4 linked regions of the Drosophila melanogaster genome follow. The protein of the gene in region 3 interacts with the protein of the main gene of each other region in a pairwise test. Each region holds a gene or a part of one and is shown on either strand. Other genes may lie near its edges.

Region 1 (4,728 bases), on a different chromosome or scaffold from region 3:
CCCGACTTAGGTGCGATTACGCTTAAGACGTGCAAATTGTTTAGCTAATTCATCGCCTGCTTCTATTTACTTGCAGTGCATGCGTGCCTACGTTGAGTTCGAGATTTCCGAGGGCGCTTACGAGATCTCCTGTCCGGACGCCACGTGCCCGGCCCAGGGTGCCATTTCCCTGCCCGAGATAGCGAACCTAACTACAACGAATCTGCTAAAGAAGCATCATAGATATCGCCTAAATCGAGGTAAGTCCTTGCCTAAGAGATTGCCTAAGAGACCTCTTAGTAATGTTACACTTTCATTTAGAAATCGAATTGGACAAGACGCGCACCTGGTGTCCACGGGCTGGCTGCGAGACCATCTGCACGGTGGGTGCAGCAGCACAGCCTGGCCAGTCCAGCGTCATTTGCCAAATGGACGAGTCGCCGTCGACCTCGCAGAGCTACAGTCCACAGCAGGAGGTGGCCGGAAACGGAAGCACAGGTGCCGCGGCCGGAAACGGAGCTCCCGTTCTCTCGGTGTCTGTTCACTGTCCCTCTTGCAAGGACGAATTCTGCGGCCTCTGCAAAAAGGCGGTAAGTGTGTGACATTGTTGTTGTTTCCTGTCATAAACATAAATTAAAATTCTATAAAAGGTTTTTAGTTTTGCGCAATTTTATCACATTTTTAATGGTTTCTAGTTTATAATGATTTCTATCCTTTTTGCAGTACCATCCGAACATAAGCTGCGACGAGTTTGGAAGACGCCTAATTGCCGATGGCCAGGACGACATTGGCATACCGTTCGACAACGAACTGATCAAGTGCTGCCCCATGTGCGCGGTGCCCATCGAAAAGGACGAGGGCTGCGCCCAGATGATGTGCAAGCGCTGCAAGCACGTCTTCTGCTGGTACTGCCTGGCCAGTTTGGATGTAAGTTCCTAGAATCTGGCAAGTCTAGGATATTTCATCTAATTTGTATTCCTGCAGGATGACTTCCTGCTGCGCCACTACGACAAGGGACCGTGCAAGAACAAGCTGGGGCACTCGCGGGCCTCGGTGGTCTGGCATCGTGCCCAAGTGATTGGGATCTTCGCCGGCTTTGGCATTCTGCTGCTGGTGGCCTCGCCGCTGCTGCTCTTGGCTGCTCCCTGCATCATCTGCTGCAAGTGCAGAGGGTGCACCGGGTCCAAGATCGACGAGGTGGACGCCGAACTGGAGGAGGAGGTCACTGCGCTGCAGGGCTAGGTGGCTGGATCTCCACGCATCCCCATCCATACGCGACATAGGCTGCAGCCTGTAAATGCAGCTGCTGTAATTACTGGTAGTTTCTATTGTTAATGACGACAGCTTACGTACATTTATTTTAGTTATTACAATTATAATTGTATATGTGTTAACTAAATTGTGATATTTACAGTGATTCGATTTCTAATTGAATCGACAAATTTGTTGAGAACCTATACAAAGACAAGACGCCTTCGATTCTTTTTAGGTTCTGTCTCTACATATATTCTTTCCTCCCCCTAACCACACCTTTGAATATATATTCGACTAAATCAATCTGTATAAATCGAGTAGGTTCTCTTCCTAGCGCATAAGTTAGTCTAAATATATTAGGAGTACGCCTCGTATTGCAACAGTGCTTTTATAACGCACCCACCCAAACAAAATCGCCCGACTCACCCACTCAATCCTTCTCTCAAGTATTACGCATGCAACTAACACCCAAAATTGATGGGTCACTTTGATCAACTGCTTGGCAATGCTTTTATCTACGCAAAAAAATATATATACTGCATATAAAGGAGGTGTATATGATGTCACTACTACTGTTTATTGAATGTATTTAATTGTAAATTTTACTACGCAGCTAAAACAAATGTATATCAAATCGCTGCTCTCGGGTCGCTTGCCTAAAAGCTGGCAGGTGCACCTAGCTGGGGATGATTTGGTTAATGTAAATTATTGAATTATTTAATGCATATACACTCAGAACACATATATCAAAATACGTATGACATAAAAGTGCGTGTATCTTTAAAGAAAACATATTTAAACTTTACTCTTAATGTGAACAACTACCGCGTATGCTGTTTGAAATAAAAATGTTAAAAGAAAACTATGGAATTGGCTTTTATTAAAGTACTGGGTTATTTAATAGCTTAAAATTCTCATTTCATATTCATGGGCTTCATTTCAAGCTTTAAATTTTCAAGCTTGTAACGGCTATTGTAAAACATGCATATAGTATGGCAACGCTATGTTTGTGGTTCGTGTATGTGCTAGATGTGAACTAAAGTTACTAAGCGAAATCACAAACATGACATTACGGGCCAACCATGGTCACATTAGGGAATGCATCAAATAATAATTTATCGAAAACATTGGCCGGCAAAGAGTTTTTATTTACGGATTTAAGCAGCAGAGAGGAGGACAGGTAAACCGGCTACGCGATGGACGACCAGGCGTGCCCGCGGTGCAAGACCACCAAATACCGGAATCCATCGCTCAAGCTGATGGTCAACGTTTGCGGACACACATTATGCGAATCTTGCGTGGACTTGCTGTTCCTCAAAGGATCCGGCGCCTGTCCAGAGTGCATGGTCCCATTGCGGCGCAACAACTTCCGCGTGCAGCTTTTTGAGGACCCAATGGTGGAGAAGGAGGTGGATATTCGTAGGCGAATTCTGCGCGACTACAATAAACGTGAGGAGGACTTTGCCTCCCTGGCGGAGTACAATGACTATCTGGAGGAGATCGAGGACATTGTGTACAATCTGTGCAACAACATCGACATCATCGAGACAAACAAGCGTATTGAGGCCTACAAGCGTGATAACCGTGAGGTCATTCAGCGGAATAAAACCCGCGTGGGACGCGATGAGTACGCGTTGGAGGAGATGCTGGAGCTGGAGAAAGTTCAGGAGGAGGCGCGTAGGAAGGAGCTGGAGGAACTGGAGAACGAGCACAAGAAGAAGAAGGCCCGCGACAAGCAGGCGCTGATCGAGGAGCTGATGTACAGCGGCAAGGATGCCGCCCAAATTGTCACCGAGTTCGCCGAAAAAGCGGAAAAGCAGCGCGAGGAGGAGAAACAGCTTCCACCGCCGAAGCCCGCCAACGAGTTCTCTACGGGCATAAAGTTCGGACAGACAGCTGATCCCAGTCTGCTGCCCGTTCCCAAATCGGAGGAGGGTCCACTTTTCGTATACGAGCCACTTGTTCCTTTCAGTGAGGGACCTGCCATGCCGCCCACAAATGAGATCGTGTCCAGGGGCTATATTGCCCACATACGAGCTGAAACACCGCAGGAGAACGCCGGCGGATTCACATCCGCTCTGGCTTGTGAACGGGCGCTTCAGGAGGCGCTGCAGGGACTCTACTATACGGCTACAACGGGTGTGGTATCTGGCACCTAGCTCTCTAAAAAAATATCCTTTAATGGTCGCACAACCAGAGCACTGAACGCTTAATTTTGTTGAACAAATGTGTCCTATACGAATCCATTCAGTTAACTCGTAACTTAATATATGTTAAATAAATAAATGCTATATCCTACGTTATAGATATTATTTATTCAAAAATATATTGTTGTTGGCTACATAGTAGGTCAATAGATGCGCAGGAAAATTAATCCTTAAACAAGAAGTAAAAAAAATAACATGTCTATATTAGAATAACTTTCATTTGCAAAGAAACTTAGCTTATTCATTTTGATAATTATTCAAATAAGAAAGTTTCCTGAATTTGTATTCTAAATACAAATACAAGAGATCAAAATGAGCCAAACAGAAAAACAGTTGGTTCGTTCGACTACAGACTTCTTTTTATTTTAAATACTTTTAACAGTAAATATTTATAGGCATTTATAGACATATGCTGGATAAACATACATTGGATTTAACTTGCTCTTTATACATTATACGGATTATAGTTAAATCGTGTGATAGTCGGACGAGTAGCTCGTCACATCCTAAGATCTACTTGCACAGTTAGAGGTAAATGTGTTCTGCGATCGGGCCACTTGCGAGATTTTTGGCCACAGATGGACTATCCTAGCCAAGTACATGAACTGGTTAACTTAACGACCTATGCATGGGCAATGTGGGTAGATTACAGAGTGCAGGACTGGTGACAATGAGAGCGATCGGGGATATGGCTGCTAATACATTTAAAATGTCATAATCTTAACTATGATCGCATGAGTTTTGCTTCTCATCTATGATGATAAAATACACAAAATTAATATAAGCTGGGATGGAGGCGATGTGTGTGTGTGCTGGGTCACGCTACTCGGGCAGAAAATGCCGCGAACGATGCATGTGGAATGTGGAAGCAGCAACTGGCGCGAGGTGCCAGAACTATCAAACGTTCAAGTGGTTTGCATACGCTTAGTGGTTAAATGGTAGGATAACATTTAATTTAGACATAAATTTGGTCTTAACAATCTAATTAAAATGTTAACATTTAATAATAGTTTTTCGCACACGCCTTTTGTTGATTACACATAGCTACAATTAGAATTGTTTGCATGCGCCACGATTGTTTGCCAAACACTACCCATAAGTTTCTCGCTAACTTCATTTACTTTGTTGCACATTACGTTCGCATCCGAGTGCACTTGGGTTTTAGTATGCTCCACTCACGAGCAGTGCTTGACCGCCGTCCCACATTTCTTGGATTTCTGGGGGCATCTCGCCGTGTTCTACTTCTGTATTGCTAATGGTGTTTTTTTTTTTTTTTTTTTTTTTGGTT
Region 2 (5,344 bases), on a different chromosome or scaffold from region 3:
AGCGGAAGTTCCAGAAGAAGGGCCTGGAGCAAAGCTGACAGTTGTTGGTATCCACCCAGCCAGGAACCTCTTTCCGCATTGCATTCATTTCCCAAAAAACCACTACTGAATCTTCGCCACAGCTTATCAGTTGTTGCGTGTGATTCGCGTACGACAGGGCGGAAACTTTGTTGCTACATAATCAGAAGTGCCGATTACTATCTTATTTTATGAATATTATTTAAGATTGGAGATACCTATGTCCCTGCAGCTCGTAAATGGTGCCACGTTTGCCACCAACATCCCAAACTAGCACGGACTGATCGCAAGCTCCGCTAAACAAGAGCTGAGGGCCTTCCACCCATTTGAGGCACCGGATTTCCGCTAAAAATTAACCAATTCGTATATAATTAGCTTACTAAATATCATTTGTAACTTGTTTACCCGAATGTCCATTGAAAGTGGTAATTAGTTGCACTCCCTGAACATCGCACCTTAGCATTGTTATCTGTCCAGCATGATCGCCCACAAAGGCATACTTGGCCAAAGCGTCGAACCTAAACGCAGATTATAATTAATTATATGTTGCTTATAGAATATTTCGCACAGTGCACACATTTATGCCAAAATTTTGTGTAGATAAAATGACTCAGTTGACACGTCATTAACAATAGAAGGTTCTCAAATTCTAAATGAATTCCATAGCCGTGAAGAATTGCAGTTTATTGCCGTGTCAAAGAAAGCAGTTTAATCCAATTAAATGACCCGCTTATCCCATATCCACTGTCGCACCCCCTTCCCCCTTTCACCATCCATTTATCATACTTACTGGAGAGCCGTGCATGGTGTCTCAAAGTTGTATCCGCCCACCCGTTTGCCGCTCTCCGTGCAATGATAGGCGAACTGCTTATCTTTGCCGGCGGAGAGTATCCACTTGTGGGTTTTCGAGAAGACCACGGCCATGACCCGCGCTTGATGGGACAAGTAATCCCGCAGGAAGGACAGGCGATTGCAGTCTTCGGATAGCGCGTACTGGGTGACCGTTCCGTTTTCCTGGCCGACGTACAGGTGCCGGGATTCCGAAACGTACTCGATGGCCGTGCAGCCGGAAGGCATATACTGGCAAATGCTAGGCCAATATTGACCAGAATCGCGTTTTAGCCAAACGCGAACGGTTCTATTGGGGAAAACATGAAAATGTCAGGCATACCATTTGTGTATATTTTTAATGGGCTACAGCTACGCACTTGTCATCGGAAACGCTAATTACGCCGTTTTCGCCCGGAATTAGGATCGCTGCGTTCACATCGTCGCTGCTGCCCTCCAGCTTACTCAGCAATTCCGGCTTTTTGGAGGTGTTAAAGCGATCATTGTTGGTCCGCTGAGCTGGTTTTATCTCGGCAGCCATATTATTTAAGGTGGATCCAGTCCGATGGTACGCCTACGCCCTATTTAACGCACTCGATGATAATGCGGTTATAAACAATCCGATTCTCGGACTGGGGAAGGTGAATGGAGATACGTGATTCACAATCAATTAACAAAACTGTGTTATTTTGTTTAACATTAAATATACTGAACTTTGTTGTTGGAAAGCTCGTCTAGATAGCGACGCCAAGTTTAGGAATGCTGCGGAATAGTGGAATCGATGAAATGAAAATAGAATCTTAATTGTTAGATATAGTTTTTGCGTATTATTGTATATTATTTTGCTATTAAAAATACTGAAGGTATTTCGTGTGATGTGTCGCAGCATTATGTATGCATATGCACGCACCACATTTTATAAACATACAAACGAGCATTTGAATCTTGAATCTCAGAAATCGCTTTATAAATGTATAGTCTTATGATTTTCATAATGGCATATCATATCTAATAAAACCTACGGACCACGCACAGTTATGTTTCCGGTTATCATGCTATTTAATTATTAATCACAAAATATTTGTTTATATTGTGTTAAGTTTTTAATACGTTAAAATTTATTATTACACATAAATAAATAATTTTATTATAAGTAGGGTTAACGCAAAATATAGCTAGTTAAGCAGATTAGATCATTGTGAGTGTTGCTCAGTGGAAACAGAGCTTTTCCAAAAATGTGCTTGGTGGAATTGAAGTATAATAAGGCGCTGTTGTATTTATTGTTTTTCAAAATCCTTGCCCGCCAATAGAGTAAAAAAGGAATGCAAAACATGTTGATAGTTTTAAAAATTATTCATAATAGCACTCAAACGAGTTGATCTGTCCAGCAAAACTAGTCTGAGCGGCCAGCTTACAAATGGAAGATAACAAGGAGCTGCAATGCTTAATATGCAAATATTCGGACACTGACGACCTGGTCTTTGGCGAATGGATGATTGTACGCAATTTGCAGGTGCACTATTTTTGCCTGGTAAGTGCGATTGTTGTGAAATGAAGAGAACTCCCGCTAATGTAAACTTCCTGATCCAATCCACCAGCTACTCTCAACGCATTTGCCGCAGCGCGGCGGAGATAGCAGTGGAATCCTGGGATTTCTGCTTCGCGATATCCGCGAGGAGGCAGCCGCCGCGGAGAAGAGGAAATGTTGGTACTGCAATAAGATTGGGGCCAGTTTGCAATGCGATCGTTGCCGGTCATTGTTTCACCTGAAGTGCGGCCTGGAGAATCGCGCCGTTTTCGAGTTCTGCGGCCAATACAAAAGCTACTGCTACAAATGCAGGCCGATGGATGACTACAAGCGACAGCTGCAGTCGAATCCGCCGAGGAACGCCACTTGCCCCATCTGCTTCAGTTCCATCTATAAGGTAGAGCTGCATTGCGTTGTGTACGGTGACTGCTGCCGCCTCGGATTCGCCCATAAGAAATGCATGCGTCAGTACGCTCTGACCTCCGGATATTACTTGCGTTGCATTTGGTGTCGTTCGGAACGTTTCAGGGATTCCATACGCCTGCAGTCGGTATTCGTGCCCGATCGCGATGCCACGTGGGAGAAGCAACGGAACGCCTATAGGGAGCTCCACGAGCGCAATCTGAAATGCGACCAGCCCAACTGCCTGTGCCCCAGTGGTAGAACTTATAATAGATTATCGTGGGTGATACTATGCTGCAGTTCTTGTGCCGCCACTTCGGCTCATCTTAAATGCTTGGTGGGCGCCCTGCGACTGCCGAAGAAGCGCGAGCGTACAGATTTCAAGTGCTCTATGTGCCTGGACGTGGAGAGGAGGATTGCTGAAGGACCGGCTCGCACAACAGAAGAAACCAATGCTGACGGCGACAACCAGGTGGATGGCTCTTTTTATGTGCAAAAATTGGGACCCGATGCTGCAACTCGATCCTTAACCCAGACTCCTGTTTTCTCCGAAGAAGACGAAAGCGAACGAAGTAGTAATATCACGGTTATATTCAGCCAACCGAAATCTAACGCAACAAGCGAGAGGTTATCCTTATCGCCGCCACAGGAGGAGATGATAGTGGAAATTCCTGATTCGCCAGAGGCGTCGCCAAAGACGTCCATCGATGAGAACCACTCGCCGCAGCCAATAGCAAGAAGGGACACATCCGACTCACCACAGCCAATAGCAGCAAGTGAGATCCCCGACTCACCGCAGCCAACAGCAGCAAGTGAGATCCCCGACTTACCGCAGACAACAGCAATAAACGTAAACCCTGAATTAACGCAGCAAACAGCATTAAACACGATTCCACACTCACCGCAGCCAGAAGCCAGCTTCTCAACGCAGCTAGTATCACAAACTTTCGATTGTCCACAGCCGCAGGAACAAGCTGTGGCGAAAGCTCCCAACTCACCGTCACTGCCGAAAGAGGATCCAAATACTTTACTTGTGCTAAAATCGGGCTTTCAATGCCCTGGCGAACCATTTTTCTACTTGGTTATCTACGAATTTGAGCACGGCACATGCATGGGTGAGTGCATTGGTACGTGTGTGCTGCGATTTAAAGAGGATGACCCGCGCATTCAGGACACCTCGCAGGCAGCTTTGGAACGCGTCAACATAACACCAGACGATGTATGGTGCCGCAGCGAGGACCGCGGCATCTTTGAGCATATCGAGAAGTTCCACGAATGGTACAGATCAGAGGGGTTCTCTTAAATATTGTTTAAAACAATTCTTAATGTTCTTAATGTTTTAAACAATTCTCTTGTGTGGGAATTAATTCGTCATAGAATTCTAGTCTCTTTATGCATATATTGTTTCGCATGATCATCCAAAAAAAAAAAAAAAACAAAAAAAAATTTCCTACCTCTGAAACCACTTTAAAAAGGTTTAATGATTGTTAAACTAGAGAAGCATGCAGTAAATAAATTGTGTTTTATGTTTTTGTATTTATAATTTAATTCTAACCTATTATTGGAGTACACATTGTTTCACTTCTCCATTGAAACCATATCTCGGCAAATAAAGAAGGCGGCTACCAGAGCTGCAGTTTGAGCCACTTCTGTACATCCTTTGGCCAATCTCTCCTCGATCTGAGCTAGCTTTACAATAAGCTTGTTCATGACCGACATAGGCAGCTCAACTGTTTGGAATACATATCAATAACTTGACTTGATGATAACTTGATAAAAACTTACGTCTCATAACAAACAAATGCAATTCTGTAATGATGTCTTCCAAAGCGAGACCTCTTGCGTACTTGGCACTTTCGACAGCTATGCAAAGAGAAGAAAGAATCATTAGTTTTGATCTTTCGCCATTTCAAATCGCATCATACTTTTGAAGGAGTCCTCCAAGCTACTGCCGGATAGCAAGGCCTTCAATATCTGTTCAATATCCTGCCTCAACGGATAGCCCACGCACATGTAGACGTTATCCTCGTTTACCGTATCAAATGCCATCACGGTACTCTGCAGGACGTTCAAGACCTTTCTCATATCACCTTTGGCCAGGGTCAGCAGTGCCCGCTTGCCGTCCTCAGTTATCTGAACGCTGATAGTTGATAGATTTTAGGTTAGTAATAAGCTATTTTATGCAGTTGAAAGACCTTACGCTTCGGCTTCGATGATTTTTTCCAGTCGCGGCATCATCTGATCCTGGGATAATGGAGCGAACCGAAAACGGGTGCAACGCGACTGCAGCGCCGGAATGATTTTGCTCAAATAATTGCAAATCACACAGAAGCGCACGTTGTCCGTATATTTCTCAATTATGCGGCGCAGGGCATTCTGGGCATCGTTGGTCATGGCATCGGCCTCGTCCAAAATGATCAGCTTAAAGGTGTCGCAGAAAATGGTGCGTGTGGACGCGAAGTTAAGGATTTGACCGCGCACAATCCCAATGCCTCGGTCATCCGAGGCATTCAGCTCCAGGACCATGGACTTAAACTGCTGAGGGGAATACAATTGGCGAGCGCAGGC
Region 3 (5,330 bases):
AGGAGCAATTCAAGCAAATGATCGAGCAGGCCGGATTCGATCAGGTGTCCTACGAGAACCTAACCTTCGGCGTGGTCAGCATTCACTCCGGCTTCAAACTGTGACAGCCGAGGATGATATTTGTTGTAAGCGATTAGGAAATCCTAAGACCATTTGATGGGGCTTAACTATAATCTATATTGTTGGTTTTTTGCGTTTTTTCATGCTGCTCACGTCGGGCAGGTCATAAAGCATCGAATTAAACAAGCTCCTCTGGCGGCTTTTATTTCTGTATGTTTACATTTTGAGGTTTATGTAGCTCTTTGTCAAATATATGTACTTCATGTGCCAAAAGGCAAACCCAAACGGCAAACTGATGACATCTCCGGCGGCAAGGCCTGGGAAAGACCTTGAGGATTGTGTGCCAGACCCACTTAGATGCAAAGGGCGATATGGTGGTAGCCCAATAACCGAACTGTACCAGATGCCAGGTGTAAGGCACTGTAATCGATTTAAATTCCACACACCCAACGGGTCGTTTCCAAAAAAAAGTGAAAATCTCCATGTAGGCTAATCGAAAGTCCATTTACGGCGATGGGATGTGATATAATGCAGAAACTATCCACTTATCTATTGACTTCAGTTCGCCATCAGATGTAGTGCAGGTGAAATTTATGCGTGTGAATGTTGAATTTTAACGAAATTCAAATAATAGCATTGAAATGCCATCAAAATAATTGACCGTGCCATGCTTAATAGGTAATTGCTAATTGGTGCTTTGCAATTGTGCGCTTTTGCTTTTATTACAATGGCTTTATTATGCTTTCACCCGGCGACTGATTAACACGGATTGGACACCCGAATAGCCGCCCATATTATTGGCCGGATTATGTAAGCGGAGACACATTTGATTTGTATCTAAATTGCAGCCAAATCATAAACCTTCGGACCTTCCATCTCCGGCAATCGAAAGTGAAAAGAGTCCGGCGATAAAAAACAAAAAAAACTGAGCACAAAAAGCATGCGGAACATGCAGGCCATTGAAAGCAAAAGTTTGGTGCGTGCGGCAACGTGCTGCGCATGCGTAGGTGGATTCCGGCCAATGGGACAGTGGAGCGGGGCCAGGCAATCAGTGGGACTAGTGGGCAAAGTTGTTGGCAAACTATATAGAGTTTTAGCCTTTTAGATTTTTATGATAATAATCTCGATATCTGAATAAGAAGTAAACTTAGATATGAAGTGTAGTAGGAATATTCCATACTTGAGGAATATACATACCATATATATGCGCACAATCTACGGTACCACAGTGCGTGGTCAGGTGGCGCAGCATAATGAGGCGCTGCTCAGTGGTCAGTGGTCAGTGGGTGAGGGGTCTTCGATTGCGGCAGGTGAAATGGCAGCGTAAAAGTCATAAACTGCCCAATCCATGCCGTATGCCATGCCGATGAGCCGCTGACGGTGGTGCATTGCTAGCACCACCAGTGCCACCGATTGGTATGCACAGTGGGTATGTGCCACTCCACTGTGCCGCGATGTCCGCTTTATAAATACAACAGCGACCAAGGAAGTTCATTTCATTTTCTTGTCGGCGATCGCAGCAAACGGATTAAACGCGAGGCGAGGCGATATATTACATAGTGTCCAAATATACGCATATAGAAATCAAGTCCACTGAATCGAAATGAATCTCTTGGCCAGTTCGAGGAGCCTCCATCTTCTGATGGTCTTGGCTGTCATCTTGGTTTCTCATCGAGCTGAGGCGGGCTTACGTTTGCGTCACACCAGTCGATCGGTCACGCCCCCCGCCAGCACAACGCCCACTTTGACAGTGACCTCCGAGGATGCCCCGCTACAAGAGGAATCGGTGGCGGAGAGTGCCCCAACGGCCAGTGTGGTTACCGAACCGGAAACGGAAGTGGAGGTCACGACCGGAAAGCACAAGCGTGGCATTCTACACGGCCACGCCCACCTGCACGGCCAATGGCCCGCCCGCACCTATGCCGCCCACTACGGCTATAGCCTGCAGCTGCCAGGAGGCAGTGCCTTCCTGGCCGCCGCTCCTCCGCGCCGCCACTTCGTCAAATACGGCCATGGTCTGGTCAAGCCGCTCGTTTCCGGTTCCGGTTTGCTGCCCGCCTTAGCTCCCGCACCCGCTGCCCTGCTGCCCGCCGTCGCCTCAGCCCTGCCCGTTGGATTGCCCACCGGTCTGCCCGGTGGCGTGGCCAGTGCCATTCCCGCCGGAGTCGCTACTGCCTTGTCCACCGGCGTGGCCACCGCTTTGTCCACCGCCGTGGCTCCGCCCTCGTACGTCCTGCGTCCCGGAAATGCGGTCGTCTCCTCGTACAGCGTCAACTATCCGCACCAGCACCTGCAGAAGCCCGTGGTCTTTCAGTCCGCCGTAAAGCCTGTCCACTTCCATGCTCCGGCTCATGGCCATGTGCATGCCGTGCAGGTGAGTTAGCTACATAGGAAACTTGTGGAATATCCCGTTGACCATTTCATTCTTTTCTGTTGCAGCCCACTTATGTGCAGACCTATGCTCCGACTGCTCCGGCAGTGCCTGTTCAGCCCGTGCAGCCAGTGCAGCCAGTTCATCATCTCCAGCCCATTCAGCCCCTTCAACCGGTGCAACCGGTGACCACCCATCTGCAGCCAGTTAGCCCAATCCAACCGGTTCAGCCCCTTCAACCGGTTCAACCCATCCAACCTACAGTGACCTTCGGTGTTCCGTCTCCCCCAGCTGTGGATTTGCCGGTGATCCCTCAGTTCCCACAACCGCCTCAGTTCCCCGGTGTGCCGACCTTTAGCTTCCAGCCCGCTCAGCCAGCGGTGCCAGCCCAACCCGCTGTGCCCGCCCAGCCGGCAGTTCCAGCTGCACCAGAAGCCCCAGAAGTGCCACAGGTTCCCGCCATTCCACAGATTCCGGCCATACCGCAGATACCCCAAATACCACAATTTCCCGGATTCCCTCAATTTCCCGGCTTTCCCCAGATTCCCCAGTTCCCCCAGGCGCCAGCCATTCCATCACCTCCCTCCGTTCCAGGAGTTCCAGCTGTACCCACGGTCCCGGCCTTCCCCAGTCCACCAACTAGCCAATTCTTTCCGGCTGCTCCACAGCCACCATTGCCGCAGCAGCCACCCACTTTTGGCCAACCAGAGTCGCAATTCCCCGGCGGAATTGTACCGCTGCCGGGCTCCACTCCCGTCCGCCCTGAATCCGGCACGGGTATAGCCTCGCCGCAGATTCCCCCACAATCACCCGAGCCGGAGACGCCGTCGGAGGTGCCACCACAGCGGCCATCCGTCCAGCAGCCCTGGAAGCCGGTATTCTATAGTCCACCCACCGAATCCGCGCCAGCGTCGCCGAATCGACCCTCGATCACCCTGCTCCCGCCATACGGAAGTGCGCCAGCTGAAGGTGAGCTCAGATGACGTTATGGATATATATTATTATGCTATATTTCAAACGAATATTTTCCAGGTTACCTGCCACCCGTGGGATCCCAACCGTCGGCCCTGAGTGCCAGTAGTGCCGGAATCGGTGGTCAGGGCGGCATCTTTGACCAGCTGACCGATGCCGAGCTGGAGCACATTTTCGCCCAGGCCAACTTGGCGCAGCAGCAGCACCAGCAGCAGCAGCAGCAGCAGCAACAGCAGCAACAGGGCCACAACTACCACCACTACTGAGTCCACCACTCACTCCACCTAGGGATCTTTTCAAATTTTTTTTTGTTTTTTTTTTTTAAGCCTTCGTTCATTTGTGCTCTACTTGTATTGTAAATTATGTTGCTATTAAATAAGTTATTTATCGAAAAATTGAACAGATCGTTTATTTATTGCGTAATAATAATAAATATAATAAATAATTTAAATAACTAATTCTATTGCAAAGTATATGCGAGATATAGACATAATATCTTAGTTTATTTCCTTTTGGCACATACATATTATCTATTTGAATTTCATTAGGAAATTCCCTTTGGCTCGGCGCATTTTCATTTCCTGAGCTTTTCCGGCGCGCGCTTTTCCCCCAAAGGGCTTTTCACCTTGAACTTGGCGTTCGTTGGTTTCTTTGGAGCTTTTCCCGTTCAGCTTTTCATTCATAAATTGCCAGCCGGCGCGCTGAATGAGTGCGTTGTGTGCTTGGTTGGGTGAAAAGTGGGCGGTTGGGCGGTCGGCTGGGCGGCGCCAGTGGGCGGGGCACCTGGAAAGGCCGCATGCCACATGTTGCAGGCATTCGCTCGCCTTTTTTTCAGCTCAGTTGTTTGTTATCGTTGGCGGCGAACGCGCGTCTGCTGCGGACCAAAAATCGACTATATTCCGACTATATACCGCGCATATATATTTTTGGATCCACCGATCCGCGATCTTACACATTGAAGTGCGGCGAAGTTTTATTTTGATTTTGATTCTTTTTGGTTTTTTTTTGTTTTTTTTTTGTGCTGTGCCCATCAGAGTCTATAATTAAATATTGTTTATTGCCCGTTGAGACGGTGGAAGAAAAAAAAAGCGAAGAACTCCCTGGATGTCAATAGCGATCATGCGTACGTCCCGGAATAATAAACAATACCCCTTTTTTTGTTTGTGTGTATATTTATCGGTGCAGTTATAGAGAGATGCCAGATATCCCCCGATTCCAATGTGTATAGGTTTTTATCTACTTTATTCGCAATGTTTGTGTGGCATTTTAACGCGAATCGAAATAATAAACCCGGCCAAGATATTGACCATCTGCGGATGTGAAAGTGCCTGGGATTTTCGATGGTTGTGTGAATGTTATCCATGCGATAATTGAGGGTTTATAATTTAAGTGTGCTACCTTTAGGAAATTCATATGAAATATACATATATGTATATATAGGAGGGTATTTCAAGTTTGGATTCAAATTGAAATTAAAGCTAAGACAACATAAAGAATACAAAAAAAAAAAAAAATCATTGAGAAAAATGGCATGAAATCGAATACAGGCTTGAACATTTTTTAAATGGATAGTGATGGCAAAAAGTATACAAGCCAAAACTTTCGAAAATGAAATAATTTTACAAAGAAATTCCAAAAGTTATATGCACGAAAAGGTGCAAAAGTGATGAAAGTTCTGGATGTTTGACAAAGTTCAAAGGGCACCAAGAAGTTTTTCGAATAAAGTTTGAGCTCGAGAAAACATAAATGTCCGCGAATAAAAAGTGCATTAGATACAAAAGTTTTTCTTTTTTTTGCCGGTGCGTTGCTCAATTTTTTTTTTATGTTTAAAGTTATATAATAAGAGTACTGAAAGAGTTTGCAAATAAATAAATGAAACTATTTAAGGCATACAAAGAAATGCTACGAATTTTTGGAATATACATAT
Region 4 (4,857 bases), on a different chromosome or scaffold from region 3:
GCACCGTTTCAGATTGCTCCTACACCTCGAGGAGATCGAGTGCTTCGTCAACTTTCGCAACTACGACAGAGACCGAGCACACTTTCTGCGTGACGGAGAGTTCCTCACGCTGCAGATCGAGAATCTAGCCGAGCGTCGACCGTCGCTGGTCATTGGCGATACACTGCGAGTCATTAATCCCTGGTCGGATCCCGATTCCCAGACCACCAAGTCATACGAGGGCATTATCCATAAGGTGCTCTTCGATCGCATTTTACTCAAATTCCATTCCAGTTTCCAGGAGAAATATAATGGCGAGGACTATCGACTAGAGTTCTATTTCTCACGCTACAGTTTTCGCAAGCAACACCATGCCATCTCCAAAATTGTAGGAGTAATGGGCGAGGATTTCTTGTTTCCCAGCAAAGTAACCAAGCGCGAGAATCCCCAGCTGGATGTTTATATGAAGGATGACGACATGTACTTGTACGATTCGAAATTAGAGTGGTATAATCAGTCGCTTAATTCCATCCAAAAACGTGCTGTTTTCAATATACTGCGCGGTGAAGCGGAGAACATTCCTTATGTGCTGTTTGGGCCTCCGGGCAGTGGAAAAACAATGACACTTATTGAGACACTACTCCAGTTGGTTAGGAATCTGCCTGGTGCCCGAATCTTGGTGGGAACGCCGTCGAACAGCTCAGCGGATTTGGTGACAAAGAGGCTCATCGATAGCAAAGCTTTGCTCCAGGGAGATTTCATTCGCCTCGTTTCGTACAATCAAGTGGAGAAAGACTTGATTCCTCCGGAAATAATGAGCTACTGCGCCACAAGTGATGTCGGTGCTGTGGGCAGTTGCGAGGACAAAGTGAGTAGAAAAATTTTATCATTTGGATTGGACACCAATTAATCTTGGCTTTGTTGATATTTGCTATAGATGATGGTCACCGAATCGGGATTGAAGCTTCGCTGTCAAGCTAAGTTTATAGGTACTCATCGCATTACCATCTCCACCTGCACTACTTTGGGAAACTTTTTACAATTGGGGTTTCCAGCGGGCCATTTCACTCACGTGCTGTTCGATGAAGCTGGTCAATGCACCGAACCAGAAACAATGGTACCCATTGTAATGCTAACGAAGAAACGCTCTCAAGTTGTTCTCTCAGGTGATCCTCGCCAGCTGCAGTCTATTGTCACCAGTCGAATTGCCTCGAAAATGGGATTTTCCATATCCTTTCTGGAGAGATTGCTGGAACGGTCGCCGTATCGAAAAGATCTTCAGCGATTTCCCGAAAGCTCCGGCTACAATCCACTAGTGCTAACCAAATTGTTGTACAATTACCGAGCATTACCGTCGATTATGAGCATTTATAGCAGGCTATTCTACGATGACGAACTGATCCCAGTTCTTTCCGAAAAGGATTCAAGGGAATCTCGCCTACTAAGTAAACTGCGGTGTGTATTTGAGTCAGAAAAGGATATCCCTCAAGCGCACGGCACGTTCTTTTACGGAATCATTGGCGAAAACAGGCAAAATAACGATTCCCCTTCCTGGTTCAATCCCCAAGAGGTCAGGGAGGTGTTCCTAATGACCATCGCCCTGTACCGTGCCAATGTGACTGCCGATCAGATCGGTATAATCACGCCCTATCAGAAGCAGGTGAAGATGCTTCGGAGTATGTTCATTGGCACCGACGTGGTCATGCCGAAGATTGGATCCGTCGAGGAGTTTCAGGGACAGGTGGGGTCGGAACTAAAATCGATATTACGTGCACACTTAACGTTTGTTATTTCCAGGAACGAGACATTATACTAATATCCACGGTGCGTTCATCAGAAGAGATCCTGCGCATGGATGCCCGCTTCTCCTTGGGATTCGTGCGTTGCAGCAAGCGACTTAACGTGGCCGTTTCCCGAGCACGTGCCATGATGATCATCTTCGGGAATCCCCATCTTCTGGCCGTCGACGAATGCTGGCGCCAGCTAATCCTGTTCTGTGTCAAAAATAACGCCTATTTTGGCTGTGATCTGCCTCAAATGGTGATAAATCAGAAAGATGAGGTCCCCGTTTGCTTGGAAACATTCGTGCCTTCACTGAATACTACAGATGATTTGAACTAAGCACATATGACAGTTTATTATTAAATTAAAACACTTGTTATTGATGAATTAAAGTAACACAATTAATCATTAAACTTGTTTTAAATATTTGTACATATGTGCTAATTTTAGCGAATGGTAACACTCCCAAGCGCAGTCTGGGAACGCTGCTCGTTTGGCTTCGCAGTGTGGTAGCACTGGCCGGAACCGTTGTAGCGCCATGTTTGCGCTCCTTTTGTTTTCTCCTTCATTTGTTTTGCTTTTTTCCGCCGTTAAGTTCTTGCCTTAAAATCGGTGATTTAAGGCATTGCATTCAATTTCGATACAATGGAGCAGAAAGTGGCTGCCGAGCAGAACATCTTCGTCGTCGACCGCAAATTGAAGAAAACTTGCCCGCAAGCAGATGTCGAGGTGAACGGACATGTGCTTAACTTTTGCGAACCCGACTTTATTTCGTTAAATACCAATTTGTAGCGCCTGGCTAAGACGCACTGGCTCACCGACTATGCCCGGGATATATTTTTGACCATGAGGGAGCAAGAACTCAGCCGTCGGCCTTTGTTTTACCTTTCGCCGCAGCTGAACGAGCGCCGAAGAATGCTGCAGTTGCTCAAACTGGCGACCAGCGCCCACAAGCTTAGTCGCTGTGCTTTGCACCTGGGTGAGCACTGTACAGAGGAGCCTCGCTGCAGGCACAAAACCCATGTGCACAACTCATTGTAACTCGTTTCACTCCAGCCGTCTACTATATGGATCGCTTTGTTGATTACTACAAAATCCGTCCGGACAAATTGCTCCTGGTGGCCATCACTTGTCTTCATATAGCTGCGCAGATCGAAAACACGGATGCGTTTATTCCGCGCTACAGCGAAATGAACCGATTGGTCAAGAACGCCTATACGGCATTCGAGTACAAGGCTGTGGAAAGGAAGATCCTGTGCTTCCTGAACTTCGAGCTAATACGTCCCACCACCGCCAGTTTTGTGGAGCTCTTCGCCTGCAGTTTTCTCACTCGCTCCGATTTCAAGAACTACATCGAGATGTTGGATGAGTACGAGCGGAACCATCACACCCAGCCGTACCAGCGATATATAAGCTTCGAAGAGATGCTGTCCATTTTGGCGCAGTTGCTCCTTCGCATGGCGGATTATACATTGTACAGTGAGTATCGAATTCCCATGGAAGGTATTGGATACCACTTAACACTCATTCAGTTTCCAGATTTGCCAACGATCTGCCATCCCTTTTGGCTGCCGCCTGCATTGCTGCAGTTCGCCAGGTCAGCGGGGTCAGGCGCTGGTCGGAGTACCTAGTTGGACTGACCTCCTATACTGAGGCGAATGTCGAGCCGTACATGAACGTTCTGACCGACTATTATTATTACCATGTTATTCAGACCGACTACGGTAGTCCCTCTGTTCAGACCAACCAGAGTTTAGCCAGTCCCGATTCCGGATTCGAGGAGTCCTTCACTGAGAACACAAACCTGGTGGTCTCCGATGAAGTGGTCACAGTAGAGACCTACAACATAATTACCGTGCAGCTGCAGGATCCATCTCCACATTCATCGACTTTCCTTCCCAAAGAGCAAACGAATTTGAAGCGATCGCGCTTTGAAGACGATACCGAAAACCAGCACCCATTGAAACACGCCAAAGTGGAGAGTGTAGCCAAAGATTAGTAAAAGGGAAAAACGAAACTATTACCATTTGGAGGAAATCCAAATAGCTTAGAAGTGAAATGACATCCATAACGTAGATATGGTCTTGTTCAATTGAGTTGAACCTCACCCATATAATAATCGTGATGTTATGCTTTAATATATATGTATTTAATATATATTTGAAATTATCTTATAAACTTATAAATACAATATGTCAAAAACTCAACAAAAATGATGCATTAACTAAAAACAACGAAGACATTATTTATAATTCGCTAAAGAACAATGCCCCTTGTTTAATTTAATCAGACGTTTGCGGGAGCTTTCAAATTAAAAATTCTTATAACTATAAGGGTTTACAATTCAATTTGGAATGCCAAATTAAAGATGTCAGTTAAGGAACAATGAAAGGGTCATTAAGGCTTTCTTATTTTTACATAGGTTGTATGACTTAAGATCGAGTTTTTACAAAAAAGAAACGAGATAGATTTCGGAACTCAAGCAAACTTTGGACAGTTCTCAATACATTTTCAGCTTCACAAATGCAAAAAGATTAAAACTAACTGCTATTAGAAGTTAATTGATTGTCCAAAGAATACTCTTCGTTCCTTAGATTTCGTGTCGTTACAATCGAATCAACTTAAACATGGATGTTACTCTTTACACTTCAATTTGACGTACGTCTCATATATCTAGCCTAGCCCCTAAATGCACAAGGCGGGAATGCATCGAGGAAGTTGAGGGAATCGGTGACGGAAGGAATGAAGAGTGTCAAACTAACTAGCTTACTTAAACATGCATTGCTAATCCCAGTGTAGTAAGTAGTTGCGTGGGCCAAGGTGCTGGTAAACATAAAAGTAGTTTGAATTTACAACATTTACAGGACATCTGTACAAGGATTGGCTTTCATCGCTGCATGTCGCGTCGCTTCAGCACGTCGAAGATCACATCGGAGGCGTTCTGTTTGTTGCTTGCACCAGACTCGTCCTCCGAGTCGGTTTGCTCCAGCAATGGCACCGTCAGCGTGGAGTGCGACTTCACATGGACACCCACAATGGCACTGCCATCGTTGAATTTGTACTCCCCTGGCGACGACTCCTCCTGGTCGTTATCGA

The links.
Region 1: the proteins of CG12723 (region 3) and Mat1 interact in a two-hybrid assay, tested with the Drosophila melanogaster proteins (one large-scale study listed by BioGRID).
Region 2: the proteins of CG12723 (region 3) and pie interact in a two-hybrid assay, tested with the Drosophila melanogaster proteins (one large-scale study listed by BioGRID).
Region 4: the proteins of CG12723 (region 3) and CycJ interact in a two-hybrid assay, tested with the Drosophila melanogaster proteins (one large-scale study listed by BioGRID).

The regions. Positions count from the first base shown.
Region 1 is NT_033778.4:10,737,422-10,742,149, reverse strand, and holds Mat1 (menage a trois 1), read left to right. Parts: upstream 1-2,320; 5' UTR 2,321-2,429; coding exon 2,430-3,392; 3' UTR 3,393-3,533; downstream 3,534-4,728. Other genes in the region: CG33144 (uncharacterized protein), read left to right, coding at 77-239, 301-569, 703-906, 964-1,221.
Region 2 is NT_033779.5:10,419,563-10,424,906, reverse strand, and holds pie (pineapple eye), read left to right. Parts: upstream 1-2,126; 5' UTR 2,127-2,263; coding exon 2,264-2,377; intron 2,378-2,444; coding exon 2,445-4,079; 3' UTR 4,080-4,282; downstream 4,283-5,344. Other genes in the region: Wdfy2 (WD repeat and FYVE domain containing 2), read right to left, coding at 1-173, 237-363, 424-536, 809-1,156, 1,227-1,387; RfC3 (replication factor C subunit 3), read right to left, coding at 4,355-4,506, 4,562-4,639, 4,702-4,916, 4,977-5,344. UniProt on the Drosophila melanogaster protein: Required for survival of imaginal disk cells possibly by regulation of cell apoptosis. Required for germline stem cell self-renewal through mediation of BMP signaling.
Region 3 is NC_004354.4:13,188,106-13,193,435, reverse strand, and holds CG12723 (uncharacterized protein), read left to right. Parts: upstream 1-1,552; 5' UTR 1,553-1,663; coding exon 1,664-2,434; intron 2,435-2,499; coding exon 2,500-3,400; intron 3,401-3,463; coding exon 3,464-3,669; 3' UTR 3,670-3,793; downstream 3,794-5,330. Other genes in the region: Coq5 (coenzyme Q5), read left to right, coding at 1-104; Lgr4 (Leucine-rich repeat-containing G protein-coupled receptor 4), read left to right, coding at 4,508-4,526.
Region 4 is NT_037436.4:3,464,133-3,468,989, forward strand, and holds CycJ (cyclin J), read left to right. Parts: upstream 1-2,295; 5' UTR 2,296-2,406; coding exon 2,407-2,490; intron 2,491-2,553; coding exon 2,554-2,740; intron 2,741-2,817; coding exon 2,818-3,240; intron 3,241-3,293; coding exon 3,294-3,760; 3' UTR 3,761-3,966; downstream 3,967-4,857. Other genes in the region: armi (armitage), read left to right, coding at 1-847, 917-1,720, 1,777-2,100; CG14971 (uncharacterized protein), read right to left, coding at 4,649-4,857.